Rhinolophus ferrumequinum: one gene and its partner. The main gene of each other region encodes a partner of the protein of the gene in region 2 in a complex. Links are inferred from orthologs where the notes say so. Each region holds a gene or a part of one and is shown on either strand. Other genes may lie near its edges.

Region 1 (7,005 bases), on a different chromosome or scaffold from region 2:
GGCCTTCATCGCACTTTCTGGCTAGGTGGGCGTGGCCTGAGTTTCTAAGCCAATGAGAATGTGCGGGTGGACCTGAGTCGGCGTAGGAAATGGTGGCAACCGCGGAGTCCGTGAGTGCAGCGGGGGCGGGGCTTGGTGTGGCTCCTCCTTTGCCCGCCACCCTAGCTCCCAGAGTGGGGCAGGGGGTCTCCCGGCCGGGGGCTGGGTGTCCAGACACAGACGCCAGCGTGAAGAAGGGCCTGGGTCAGGGGTAGGACAGGTCCAAGATACTGGGGTCTGGTTTTGAGCAAGGAGGCCCCACCTGCCCCTCTGTCCCCTGGGCCTGCTTCAATTTTCTTTCGCAAGTAAATGGCCCCTTCGCTCTGCCCCCGGAGTGCTTGAAGTTTGGTCCCAATGCATTCTTTGTGGCCTTTCACCAGCTGCCCGCCTGCCGCCATGCTGCCCCTGCGCCTATGCCGGCTGTGGCCCCGCAGCCCTCCCACCCGGCTCTTCGCAGAGGCCACTCGGCAGCGGTGAGTTCGGTCTTTGGGGGCCCGGTGTCGGCCCTGTAGTTCAGCGGGTTTTTGTTGAGGGCGTGCTCAGCTCTAGGCCCTGCCCTAGGTACTGAGGTAGTTGTGATCTCTCTATTCTGTGTCAGGTGCCTTACAGGCTTGTCTCAGGTAAACTTCACCTTCACTGCTGAGGACAGGATCAGAGATGAAGGGACAACCACCAAGGTTATACAGTGAGTTAAGTGGCAAACCTGGAGTTTGAGCCCAAGCCAAACCCAGTGTGTTTTCCACAACTCCTGTGGTTGTCCAACATCACTGTGCATAACCCACGGGGTGGGGTGGTCCTTACAAAAATGCAGATTCCTGGGCCCTGCTCTGGAGCTTCTGAGCTGCAGCTATGAGGTTGGACTCAGGAATCTGTTTTTTTTAAACAAGCTTTTTAGGTGTTTCTGACACAAGGAGTCTGATGAGGACTACACTTTGAGATGTTCTGATCTGCACCATTCCCAAAACACTCCGAAAGGAGGGATGATTTGGAGATAGATCTCCCTTGGTACCTGCCTCAGTCCCCTCAGCTACTGGTTGCTGAGTTGAAGGGTGTAGCCCAGGGGGGCTAGGAAGGGTAGGGAAGTGGTATCCTCTGTTTCCTTAGTCCCTGCAAGTTCCAGCCTCTCTCCACAGGTCTGGCCCCAGTAACTACTATGAACTGTTGGGGGTGCATCCTGGTGCCAGCCCTGAACAAATTAAACGAGCTTTCTTCTCCAAGTCCAAAGAGGTACCAGTGGTCCTAGGAAGGGAAGTGGGAGGGGAAGTCTGAGCCAGACGGGATGCACTCCAAATTCCCAGGAATGGAGCTGAGTAGTTCACTCTAGCTGGTGCCACATTCCATCAGCACGCATGTGGAAGGGGAGCACCCCAAGAGCAGATGTCTGGCCCGGCCAGAGGAAAGCCAGGGGTGTGCTGTCTGATGGGCTGGGCTTGGTTCTCTTGACCTATCGGCTCTTGAGAAAGCATGGACCAGCGCAAACAGTGAGAGCCAAGCAGCCACCCCTTTGGAGGGGTGGCTGGCCCGAGGGTGAGGGTCGCTGCCCAGACAGGGCCTCTGGGAATGATTTGAGCCCTTGTGGGTGGACATTATCAAGATGGGTCCTGGGAAGAGACATGGGAAAGGAGATGAGGGGAGTCCTGCCCCACCCCAGCTGCACCCTGACCGGGACCCTGGGAACCCGGCCCTGCACAGCCGCTTTGTGGAGCTGAGTGAAGCGTATCAAGTGCTTAGCCGGGAGCAGAGTCGCCGCAACTATGACCACCAGCTTCGCTGCACAACTCCCCCAAAGTCTCCAGGAACCACAGCCCATCCCAGGTCTGCTCATCAAACACACAGGTACTGTATCTTGCTGCTAGCTTGCCCCCCACCAAATCTTTTAGGGAGCCTCATCCCCACACTGCCCCTTCTCCCTCCCAGCAGCTCCTGGACAGCCCCCAATGCACAATACTGGGCCCAGTTTCATGGCGTGAGGCCTCAGGGACCAGAATCGAGGCAGCAGCAGCACAGACACAACCAGCGGGTGATGGGGTACTGCCTCCTGATCATGTTGGCAGGCATGGGCCTGCACTATGTTGCTTTCAGGTGCATCCCTGCTGGGGGGAGAGGGGCAGGGGGGTAAAGCCCAGTGTGGTCAGCCAGCCATCCCACCACCCCTGTCGCTTGCACTTGTGTCTCTCCAGCTAAGAATTGCATGAAATACATCTCCGGAGCATTTGCTCATTTAGCAAAGACAGCGCTGCTCTAAGGGCTAGTGTCGTTTTCAGGGTTTTTTAAAATAATTTGAAAGTAAATCTTTGGTGCTGGCTGCCATGGAGTGGCAGAGCCAACCAAAATCATGCAAAAGAAAGAAATGCTTTGTAACAAGGCCTCACCAGCAACTGTTTTCACTTGTTTGGCAGCCAACTGTCACCCCGCCCCTCTCTCATGCATGTCATAACAGGTTCTACAGCAAAGATACTTAAAGGCAGTGCAATGCCCACTGCTAGCAGCCTGCCTAGTTCAGTGATGGAGTTGTACGCACAACTCTTTCAAATCTGTGAGGACCATCCTGATGTTCAGTGCTGAACAGCTGGGGGATTTGGGTCGCCATTGGACCCTCTATGTGTCCCTCTCCCTGCCTAGCACAGGCAGTTAGGCTGAGGTCCTTGCAGATGTAAAGCTGTGAGACCCTAGAGTAGGGTGCAGGGGGTGAGACTTGGAGGACAGCAGGGTTTGGGGGACCCAGGGTTAATTGTAACCCCCATGCAGGAAGCTGGAGCAGATGCACCGTAGCTTCATGGATGAAAAGGATCGGATCATCACAGCCATCTACAATGATACACGGGCCCGGGCCAGGTCTGTCCCTGCTCTACCCTGCCCTCTCTTCACTGTCCCAGCACCACCTTCCAGGATCCCTGTCCCAGCCACCCCGATGCTCTCTCCTGCAGGGCCAACAGAGCCAGGCTCCAGCAGGAGCAAAAGCAGAGGCAGCAGCTGCAGCCACCACCGGGGCCTCCCCCAGGCCCAGGGACAGTGCCCCCAGGCACCAGCCCGTGAGCAGCTCACCTGAATGGGGCCTGCTGTGTTTCCTCCCGGGACTCTCCACTCCCCAAAATGCATGCAATAAAGTGGTTCTCTGCGCTCGTGTCCGCTTCACTCCTTCAGCCCCAGCACCCCCCTCTCCCCCACCCCTCCATCCCCGGCCTCGCCGTGGGACAGCGCCCCGCCCTCCGGGTTCTGGCGGCAGCGACCCAGGAGCCCGGCCCCTTGGGCGGTGCGTCCCCTTTCCCCTGCTGCGGAGGGAGGGGGTGTGTGGAGGGGGCGGGCCCGCCGGCGGCCTCGCCCCCCCCTCCGGCCCCCGCCCCGCCTCTGCCCCACGGCCCGGTGGGGAGCCCGTGTCTGGGTCACATGAGCCGCCCGCCCGCCAGCCCGGGCCCGGCCCCCTGCCGCCCCCGCCGTCCCCGCTGCCTCCACCGCCCGCCGCTCGCCGCCGCCACGGGCCGCCCGGCTCCAACGGCCGCCGCCGCTGCGCTGCGCTGCCTGCGCCCAGGGCTCGGGAGGGGGCTGCGGAGAAGCCGCCCCCCGCGCCCGGCCCCCGACCGCCGCGCCCGGGCCCGCGCCATGGGGCTCTGGCTGCCACCGCCCCCGGCGCCGCCGGGCTAGGGCGATGCGGGCGCCCCCGGCGCGCGGCCCCCGCGGGCACCATGAGCCCCCTGCTCCGCCGCCTGCTGCTCGCCGCGCTCCTGCAGCTGGCCCCCGCCCAGGTACGTGCGTCCCCGACATCCCGCCCGCCTGCCGTGCCCTCTCTCAAGGTTGGCGGAAGTGGGGAGGCGCTGAGAGGCCTCCGCGGAGGGGATCTGCGGGTCGGACCGCGGACGGTGGTGTTGCAGGAGTCTGACCAGGGCATCCCCCGGGAGATGTCCCTCCCCACTGGCCCGCCAACCCAGTCCCGGGGCCACTCCCCCGCCCCACCCCATCCCCTGGGCGCAGCCAGGGGCGGAGCCTCCTGAGTGCCCGAAGGACCTAGTTCGGCTCCCACTGTGCTCCCTTCTGACCTGTGGCCACTGGAACAAGCCTGGTCCCCAGGCTTAGAGGTTCCATGACGCCGACAGAGCTCAGCTGGAGGGTCCTGGCCGGGGGCAGGTCCCTGGTGGCCAGGAGAGGACAGGTAAAGCTAGAGTGGACCCAGAAATAGAGCAATCTGGAAAAATGTCAGAGAGGAGTTGAAACCTTCTAACTGCAAGGTTAGACAGAGCCTTGGGAATAGTGACAGGGCTAGCCCTAACTAGAGTGCACCTTGGGTCCAGCTCTCTTCTCTCCTACAGGTTCCTGTCTCCCAGCCTGATGTCCCTGGCCACCAGAAGAAAGGTAATAGTAACAATAACTTCTCTAGCCAGCACTGAGAAGGTATGTTATGTGTCCATCATCTTGTGTAACCACAACTGCTCTGTAAGATGCAAACTCTTAATAATCTGCCCATTTCCCAGAAGTGGAGATTGAGGCAGTGGGGTTCCCGGGTTCTAGATGAAGAGGGTAGGGGAAGGCAGGGTGGGAGGGCAGAAGGTGGGGCTAGTGGAGGGTGGCCGTGACACAGGAACTAGGGAAAACAGCTGCTGGGCACAGGGGTAGGGGAGCCAGGGAACAGCTGCAGGACACCCAGTGGGGACTTAACCCTTATACATGTGTCCTCAGTGGTGTCATGGATAGATGTGTATGCTCGTGCCACCTGCCAGCCGCGAGAGGTGGTGGTGCCCCTGACTGTGGAGCTCATGGGCACCGTGGCCAAGCAACTGGTGCCCAGCTGTGTGACTGTGCAGCGCTGCGGTGGCTGCTGCCCTGACGACGGCCTAGAGTGCGTGCCTACTGGGCAGCACCAAGTCCGAATGCAGGTACTGGGGCAAGTCGTGCATGCCTGGCTGGGGTGGACGGATGCTGGCGCTCTGGGGGCTGCAGGGGTGATGGCCAGGGCCCTGGCTGGTGGGCGAGCTGTCCTCCCTCCAGCCCATGGAGTGTCCCCTTCTCTTCCCCCCTCTCTCTCTCTCATTGTCTTTCTCCATTTTTCTGAGTGCAGATCCTTATGATCCGGTACCCGAGCAGTCAGCTGGGGGAAATGTCCCTGGAAGAACACAGCCAGTGTGAATGCAGGTGCCAGCCAGGCCCCACGTCTGAGCTCGCAGAGACCAGGCTTCGGGGGTGCTGGGCGTGGTGGGATACCGCAGTGGGGACCAGGATTTTGAGGGTGGAGCCAGAGTAGGCCTGGGATCTGGGGCAACAGAGTAGGATGCTGGGCCTTCCTGATCCTCCTCCTCTTTGTCTCTGTCGGTCTCTCTTACTTTTCAGACCAAAAAAAAAAGAGAGTGCTGTGAAGCCGGACAGGTGAGTCTCTTGGCCTCCTGCTGAGGTGGGGTTGGAGACCAGGCCCAGTGCCCAGGATGTAACCTGTGGGTGGGGTGGGGGCTGTACGAGTGTGTCAGGTGTGGTCCCCTCCCCTTTGTCCTCCCACTTGTGCCCCCCTCTGCCTTTTTCTTTGCTCTCCAGTCTGTATGCTCTGACCTGACCTCAGCTCCTTCCGGGGAAGACTTCCTTCCCGCCCCAGACATGTTGCTTCTCCTCCTAGGGCTGCCACTCCCCACCACCGTCCCCAGCCCCGCTCTGTTCCGGGCTGGGACTCTTCCCCCGGAGCACCCTCCCCAGCTGACATCACTCATCCCACTCCAGCCCCAGGCCCCTCTGCCCACGCTGCACCCAGCGCCGCCAGCGCCCTGACCCCAGGACCTGCCGCTGCCGCTGCCGACGCCGCAGCTTCCTCCGTTGCCAAGGGCGGGGCTTAGAGCTCAACCCAGACACCTGCAGGTGAGTAGTTGTGGGATGGCAGTTGTTTGGGAAGGCAGCAAGTCCTGGAGCATGTCCAGGGTAAGTCTACCAGTGGGAGAAGAGCCAGGGTAGGGGAAACTGTTGAATGTGTTGAACAAATATTTACCAAGTGTCTGTGGGCACTGGGATTGGCATACACAAGGCACACGTTCTATCAAATGCGGAAGTCAGACACAAGGACACATGATGCTGGCAGAGGCTATTGAGGCCTATGGTACGGGGCACTTGACATCGTCTTTACGAGGTCAGAGATGTCCTGGAGGAGGTGACATGTGCCTGGAGTAGAAACAAGAGAGACAACTTTCCAATTTGCAAAGCTCTGGGCCTTCCGAGAAGCCCCTGTGGTAGACATTTGTCCTACCTTGTGGGCTCTGAGAGGCTAGGGGACATAGTGTAACCTGTCCACTCTTGTCCAAGGGCTTCTCACCACCCCTCCCTTCCACAACGAGGCCATGGGTGCATCACGTGGGCCAGGCCAGTTGGGGCTTCCCAGGAATGTTAGGAGAGAATGGGGTTCACAGGAGGTAAAGGGGTGAGTCCAGAGGAGCAGGTGCTGAGCTGTGGCAGCATAACCAGACCCCCTTCCTCCTCCCCTCCTTAGGTGCCGGAAGCTGCGAAGGTGACACATTGCTTTTCAGACTCAGCAGGGCCACTTGCCTCATAGGCCACACCCCAGAGGGGGACTAGAGGGCAGCCTGGTGAGAGCATCCCAGCCCCTCAAGACCTCAGCCCAGGCGGAAGCTGCTCCAGGACCTGGGCTTCTCAGGGCTTTCTGGCCATCCCTTGTCTCTGCAAGGCTGCCATCCAACAGGAAGGGCAGAGTTGGATGAGGAGACTTGCAGGCAGCAAGAAGGGTCGCATACCAACTTGGGAGAGAATGGGGTCCTGTCTCATTGTTTAACCACCCTGTGCAAGGGAGCATCTTACGAGTGGCCCCTCCCTCCCCTAAGAAGACCCTGATCCTCTGCAAATAATGGGAGTTGGGCCTCGGTGTGACAACTGTGACCCTCCCCCCAACCCTGATAAAAGAGATGGAAGGAGCTGTCCCTGCCTGTGTCCCTGTTTGTCATTGTCCAGGTTGGCTGATTTAGGCATGAATGTCTGCATCACACT
Region 2 (7,203 bases):
AGATTTATTACATTCAATTTGGAAATGGGTATTATTTTCATGTAATTGTTATTTAACTTTATGTTATTCATGTAGACTTCCCTCCCAAAATTTCCAAGTGCAGCATTTCCAATTAGTTATAGCAAATTGTAAATGTTAGCTGCTCAAAGATGCAGGGAAAATTGGGACAGAAAAAAAGGGTCTGTGGCTTTAGTGTAGGACGTGGTGGTGCCTTAGAAGTAAGAAAATGAGGCTTTGGAGAAAAGGGGCTTTTTTTTTTTTTTTTAAGAGGAAGATTGCAATATAGACGTGTTGCAAATAGCTAAATTATTGGCATCTTTTTATTTCCCAGGGTGTTTGGAAGAAGGTACATATACTCCTTGGGGGAAATGCATTATCCTTTTGTATTACTGAACCTCTGGTTATTTTATCTTGCAATGCACACATGCACATCACCCCCCACCCCGGCCCCCACCCCCCCATACACAGTAATAATAACTGATAAATCTGCAAAGTCTGTGAGCAGACCCTGGCCCAGGATGGATGCAGGCGGAACTCCTGATATATCCACAGGACAGAAACTTGGCCCCTTTTGGGCCCCCCTCCCCAGAGCTGCGGCCCTTGGGTTCAGTTCAAAAGCCCTGATATGGTTTAGAAAGTCAGTAGCGACTGTTTCGCCGATTGTTTCACCGTAAGATGTCTGTTCACCAGACGGAGAAGCCTGTGGTTTAAGAAGGCAGGCTTTGAAATTACCAATGCCATCCGCTGATGGAACGGTCCCCAAACCGGCAGGTAAAGGGGTTCTCACCTTGTCAGTGTTTTGTCTTGCTTTCTTCCTATAACACATGTGTAAATTTTGTTTAATCACAAGAGTTCCAAGATTTCTGCCTCATTTAAGTAAAATAAAATCTAAGAGTAATCACAAGAGGATCTCACGTTTCTGAAAAGCCTCCACCGATCTCAGTAGCCCCTAATAGAGAACTATACTTCACTAGTCAACCACAGCTTTGAAACAAAGATAAAGTTATATCTGTGCGAAGCAGAAAATCTAATAAAACATATATTCTTCCCTCCATTCTTCGGATTTACGGCAATAACCTAGATTTACCTTTATGTAACAGACAGATGGACTTTAGCAAGTTATTTAAACGCTCTAAGCAATTGTATCAAAAAAAGTGACTTTCAAAACAAAAATGTAGTTTTGAATTAGAAAAGCAACATTTAATTTAATATAGTTGTTTTAGCAACTTTCCCCACTTACAGCGAGTTCTCAGAATTACTTCACCTTGCTTCTAGGTTTAATGGTTTCACCAATCTAGTTGGCACTATTGCTTGTTATTTAGAAACTGATGGTCTAATTAGTTTTCCCACTGTGAAAGACTGTTTGACTGTTACAGCCTTTGGAATTTAACAAGAATTTTTTAAAACAAAATACGCTCAACCCTACTGACTTTCTTTCCCGGGATCATTGCAATTATTTATTTTATTTTATGCTACTGTCTTTCATGTCATATTTCACCTTTTCTCCATGATGGTTAACAGAAAGGCGCTCCGAAATCTGGCTCTCTGTGCCCACGGGGCCGAACCAAAAGGCTCGGCCACTCTGTCCCGCTAGGCAGAGCCTCGAGTCCGAGCTCCGAAATCCCCGCGGGCTGTGGCGCCTCCTCGCTGGGGCGGCTTCCAACCTAATCGCTGTGCGACCTTCTGGCCCCGAAGGTTCTGCTGCCTGTTTCCCTAACACCCAGGAAAGGGGCGGACCTCACTCGTTCCTCAAAGGCATCTTTTGGTCCAAATCGTCGGCCCTTTCTTCTTTCGGAATTTAAAGGCTAGATTTGCAATTCCGAAACTTAACGGCATTCGGGTTCCCGACTGGCCTCGTTGGTCAGGTTCACTCAGGTCCGCGACCTGGGCAGGCTGCGCGCTCCGGCCCCGCGGTGGGAGAAACGCGGGAGGAGTGGACGCTCGTAGGACATCCCGGGGACAGTCGGGCTCGGGGACCCGAAGTGAGTCGAAAGATACCAGCTCTTGCCATCTCCGGGGTTTTGTCTGCTCCCGGCAAACAAGCGAACGCCTCCAGGAGGGCTCTCCTCCTTCCCTCTCGAGGCGCGACGTCGTGGCCTGTGCCCAACATCGCCACCGTGGGGCCTCAGCCCAGCCCCCCGGCGGCCTCACGGGAGTTCTGAGCGCCGCGGCTCTAGGCTCCGGAGGGCCCGGGGACCCGCTCCAGGCCTTCTGGAAGCAGGTCTGGGGGTCAGGCAGATCCGGGTGCGCGGCGCTCCCCGAGCACGGAGCCAGGCAGAACGGATCAACGACTTCAGCCGCCAAGCGGCTGGAGCCCAGCGCTGTCCCGGGCGGCGATGCCCGCGGGTCCCGCCTGCTGCTCTCCGAGGCGCGCACCCTGACCACCCAGCGGAGGAGAAGGGCGCCACGGCCCCAGGCGTGCCCAATGCGACGCGTGTCCCAGGTTCCCGCTGAGGCTCGCCTCCCCGAGGGCCCCCGGCCCCGGCCACCAGGGTGTGCCCCTGCCGCCCCATCACGGCCCGGGTCGCGCCCTACCTGTGAGAAGCAGACCGCCGAGCAGCGCGCACAGCAGGACGCCGGTGTCCCAGCAGCTGACCATGGTGAGCGCGACGCGGCCTGCTCGCCCGGTGCCCGCGCTCCTGACGGGAGACCTATCCAGCCGCCGGAAACTGTCTTCTTGCTCTCGGCGGCCGCTGGCCCTGCGCTCTGGCTGCGCGCCCCGGGCGCCACTATCCGCGGCTCCAGCCAGGAAGACGGCCACTTGCCGGGTAATCCTCGCAGCTCCGCGTGCTTGGCCGCTGCGCTCCAGTCCGGGAACTCGCTGCGAGCCGGAGCCGCCGCCGCCGCCGCCGCCGCCGCCGCCGCCGGGGAAGAGCCGCGAGGAGTGTCCGGCGGGCGCGCTCCGAGACTCCAGCGGACCTTGCTGAAGAGCAGCTGAGGGCGGGGGCCATTTATAACCTTTCCACAGCCCACTTCCTACCCCGGCACCTCCTTCCAGTGACGTCAAGGGGTCCCCCACCCCTCATCCGCCTCCCCACCTACCCTCTTCCTCCGGGACCTGATTCCCTAAGGCTACAGAGAGGGGCGGGGGCCGCCGGGGGCGGGGGGCCGGGGCTGAGCGCTCCGCGGGGCGGAGAGCGCGCGTGCTCTGGGAGGCGCTGGAGACGCGTCCCGGGAGCGCAGCCCCGGGCAGGTTCAGGGTCCGCGCTCCCGTCTCTCCTGCCCCCGTCCCTCCTCCTGCCCCCGTCCCTCCTCCTGCCCTTAGTGCTCAGGAAATCCTTGCAGTCTCCCTCCACCCGGTTTACTCAGCCCTGGGGGCCGCCCGAAGCTGGGAAGGGGACAGGACTGCAGCTCCACCGCCCGCCCCCTGGGCGGAAAGTCCGATCCACGGGAAGCTGGCCGCGCCCCCGAGACGGTGTTCTTGGCACCAAGGAGTGAGGCGCAGTCCGACTCCCTTCTCGTCCTTGCCCTTCCCGCCTGTCCAGCTGCCCCCCAGCTCCCTGACTGTACCCAGACGTCTAGGAAGGCGCCGGAAACCTTCGGAACCGGGGACTGGAATGGGAGCGCCGGAGGGCACCGGACGCTTGCCTGGCACCTTCTGGAAGACCGCGAACCGGCTCTGGTCCCTGGGGAGTGCGTCTGTGTCTTTTTCGGCCACAGATGCTCCCGCCCAAGTCGTTTCCTAAACCCGCCGCTTCCTAGAAGAAAAACAAGGCTTAGTATCGTGATACCTTTTTAAAAGCTGAGGCGTGAAACTGCTCCTACAACTTGTAAGGGCCGACCTGGCACGTGAACTTTATTTCCTAAATGCTCGAAAAAAATCTTTCTGATGGGAGCTTGTTACGCAAGACGATTGACTGCTGGTCTTCGAAAAAAACCAAGTGAAATAAACTTGAGCCACTAGATCATTTGCGATGGCACCAATTCCACTTTGTTCTTTAATTTTGTCCGCATGACCTCAAAGGCTGGAAGCGTCCTGGGCTCCACTGAGCAGCTCAGCCTTCTCTCTGTAAATACCGCCGCCTTGAAAAATAGTTCTACTGGAACCTGCAGATGGTCAAGATAAAAGGAATTGTGATGACTCCTAAACGGGGCCAGCGACTCTTCCAGAAGGACTGGACTACCTCCCCGTATGGGAAGATTGGGCAACTCGAACTTGCCACACCTCTCTGCACTGTAGAACAAGGACAGGTCCTTGCCACCCTCCGCCCCACGCAGGAAACGCGTGTCCGCGCACCTGGCGCCGGGGCGCCTGAGCCACAGTCCCTCGTGGTTCAAAAGGAAGCAAGACGCGCGAGGTCATTGCTAGCCCGCGGGCTTCATCACCCTTTTCCATTTTCGCAGTGCTCCTCACCGCGCTCCCTGGCCGTTTTACTCTGCCTCGCCCGAGCCTGATTTCTCCAAAACCACAGGCTCATTCCTTGAAAGTAAACACGGAACGCAGGGATGGAAGCTGACAGCGGATCCTTCTCGAACCTGGTCCCCCAGCCCAGGTCACAGTCTGGGACTCACCCGAGAGAGAGCCTCACTTCAGAGCCCCGTGTCACTGCCCCCATCCCTCCGAAGGAGAAGCCGTCAGCATTGCCCTTCTGCCACCTCCTATGGACCAGGCATTGTGTTAGAGCCAAAAAACACTGATGGGAAGATCTCATCTCTGCCTTCTAAGGACGGGGCTTAGAATCTGGGAAGGAAGTTGGCACGGAAAGGGGCCAAGACAGCATAGTGTCAGGATCACAGGGCTGGGGGCGGGGGCGGGGGCGGGGATGGGTGGGGGAGGTTCGGGTTTGCTATGGGCACAGAGAAGAGGTGGTCTGTCCGGTCTGGAGGACTCAGGGGGGATTCTCAGGAGAGACCCTTAGCTGACCCTGGGGGGAAAGTGGTCCATAGCACAACCTACAAAAGTTTAATACAACTTTTCAAATGCGATTTGATTTTTAAAAAACTCTCCCAATACCCTCTTCAGAAAGGAATGTAAAGACTTCGTTTGTGAAGCCGGAACAGGTCATTGTTGAACGGCTGAAACAGGTTTCATAATCTCAGATGCCAGTCAACAATTTATTGCTCAATTATTTAAGGTTAAAAGAGTCATGGTTGAATGACTTAATTTACCCCAAAATCATTTTGCATCGAGTGGTCCTTCACAAATCCCCCAACTATTCTTTTGAAAAGTTGCAGGCTTTAATGATAGCAATTTCTTTACGACTTCTTCTTTTGTTAGTCGCATTAGCTTCCTCACAAGAATTCAACATGCTACAGGTTGTCACCAGGTTTGCTCATGATTTCATTTTAGCTTAGATAAATTTTAGCATTGAGATAAATGAACATCTAAATTAAAATGATGAGAAAGAAAGGTATGACTCTCAACCCTCTCCCTCGCTCCACTAAAAGAGATAATACATTTGAATAAGAATGGGCTACAGTACTCTCCAACTAAATCACTAACGAAGAGGTTTTATAGATAGTGGAGATGGAAAAGATCTATTTCAACATGCCTGGTGCATATAAAAAGCTATTGAAGTGGACTATCTACTTCCTTCCTGCCCACACACAAAGAACATTTCATCTCCTGCAAAACCAGACACTCTCTCTTGTTATCAGCTATAAACATTCTCTGAGGATTCTTTCTAGTCCCTATTCAGAGGCACACTCTTGGTAAAACCAACAGTTTTAATGTTCAAGACGGAATAATAGTGTGGGAGCATCAGTGTGGGAGACAAGAGAGAACCCAGGGCCTCATCTTCCTGCAGCGGACCATGTGTGGAAGGGCTCAGCTTGCAGTCACTGGGGCTCAATCAGGAATCTCATCCCCACATGGGCTAGGTAGCTTCAGACCAAAGGAAAAAATAACATCTGTGGCTACACGCTGCATAGCATAAGTATGTGTGGTTGGCCACGGCAACCAAATGATCTCATAAAACCCTGCTGTGTTATATGAAAAGAACACCTCACAAGACATAGCCACACGACATGACAGTTCAGGCTGCTTGGAGGAAGCACATACAGACCTGGTGTGGCAAGCACTGCGGATGGAGTTCCTCGGGGGCCATCTCTTTTCTGCCTCTCCCCCACCCCCACACCTCACTCTGGTCCCAACTACCTGTTCCTCACCTGTTAGTGCTTATCTCACTTTTTTTTTAAATAAATTTTATTGGGAAATATTGGGGAACAGTGTGTTTCTCTCCAGGGCCCATCAGCCATTGTCCTTCAATCTAGTTGTGGAGGGCGCAGCTCAGCTCCAAGTCCAGTCGCCATTTTCAATCTTTAGTTGCAGGGGGCGCAGCCCACCATCCCATGTGGGAATCGAACTGGCAACCTTGTTATTGAGAGCTCACGCTCTAACCAACTGAGCCACCCGGCCGCTCTTGCTTATCTCACGTTGATTTATTCAGGGTTCCAGCTCTTTTGAGGCTGTGTGTCCCAGTGCTGGACTCCTAGTTAGCTCGTATCTCCTTCTGCTCCCCAGGGGCTGTGACATAGACACTGTGCTTCTGTTACTGCAACCTAAGATCAAAGAAGCCTTTTCTGTCGGCTACTTCAGACCCTGCACTCTTAGGGAACCTACTCTGGGTTAACACCCGGAGGCTTTTTCACAAGAGCTGTACAGCCCTGGCTTTGACAACTCAAATCGCAGACCCTTATACACCCTTTTATTAAACTTCTTATTTGATTTAGTCCATCTTTCTGGCCTGTTTGAAATCTTTCTGATCTCCAATTCTGCCATTTAGTGCATATTCTATATCTCTTGCTTCAAATTATCCACAAATAGGATAAGTGTGCCATTTGGGTCGTCATCAAAATCATTAAGGAGGAGAGAGATGAATGAATGAATGAATGAATGAATGAATGAATGAATGAATGAATGGATTTAAAGAGGTTGAGGAAACCAAAGTATTCCTTTGTCAAGGGAGGGCTGCATATTAACTCGTTAGTATTTACCATGTCATTATTAGGAATAACTGATGGTCTGAACAAGAGTTAATAAGACAGGTAAGTTTTATTCAAGGTATTCTAGGAAAGTAAAAACAAAAAAAACAAAAATCCAGACTGATATCAGTAAAGAAGATTGGGGCAGGAGAAAGGCAAAACAGAGAAGGGAATACTAAGGGAAAAATAGTCGGCTAAAGAAATCTGCGTAAGTGTCATCTAATCATGATAATTAACAAGTTTGCCAAAGGTGAATTTTATCTCAGTATATAACTGTCA

What was found.
Region 1: the proteins of FLT1 (region 2) and VEGFB are in contact, whole or in part, in a crystal structure (PDB 2XAC), measured with the Homo sapiens proteins. The link is inferred for Rhinolophus ferrumequinum from reciprocal best matches to the Homo sapiens genes FLT1 and VEGFB. Residues at the interface, in NP_002010.2 of Homo sapiens: Tyr139, Glu141, Pro143, Phe172, Pro173, Tyr199, Ile202, Gly203, Leu204, Asn219, Leu221, Arg224, Thr226; in NP_003368.1 of Homo sapiens: Ser37, Trp38, Ile39, Tyr42, Thr43, Thr46, Cys47, Gln48, Pro83, Asp84, Asp85, Gly86, Leu87, Cys124, Arg125, Pro126.

Annotation. Positions count from the first base shown.
Region 1 is NC_046294.1:7,180,433-7,187,437, reverse strand, and holds VEGFB (vascular endothelial growth factor B), read left to right. Parts: upstream 1-3,999; 5' UTR 4,000-4,117; coding exon 4,118-4,186; intron 4,187-4,343; coding exon 4,344-4,386; intron 4,387-4,710; coding exon 4,711-4,907; intron 4,908-5,089; coding exon 5,090-5,163; intron 5,164-5,358; coding exon 5,359-5,394; intron 5,395-5,635; coding exon 5,636-5,849; coding exon of another isoform or gene 5,850-5,871; intron 5,872-6,493; coding exon of another isoform or gene 6,494-6,515; 3' UTR 6,516-6,938; downstream 6,939-7,005. Other genes in the region: DNAJC4 (dnaJ homolog subfamily C member 4), read left to right, coding at 394-512, 1,173-1,266, 1,691-1,875, 1,957-2,121, 2,788-2,874, 2,967-3,075. UniProt on the Homo sapiens protein: Growth factor for endothelial cells. VEGF-B167 binds heparin and neuropilin-1 whereas the binding to neuropilin-1 of VEGF-B186 is regulated by proteolysis.
Region 2 is NC_046287.1:100,321,738-100,328,940, forward strand, and holds the start of FLT1 (vascular endothelial growth factor receptor 1), read right to left. Parts: upstream 3,014-7,203; 5' UTR 2,600-3,013; coding exon 2,536-2,599; intron 1-2,535. UniProt on the Homo sapiens protein: Tyrosine-protein kinase that acts as a cell-surface receptor for VEGFA, VEGFB and PGF, and plays an essential role in the development of embryonic vasculature, the regulation of angiogenesis, cell survival, cell migration, macrophage function, chemotaxis, and cancer cell invasion.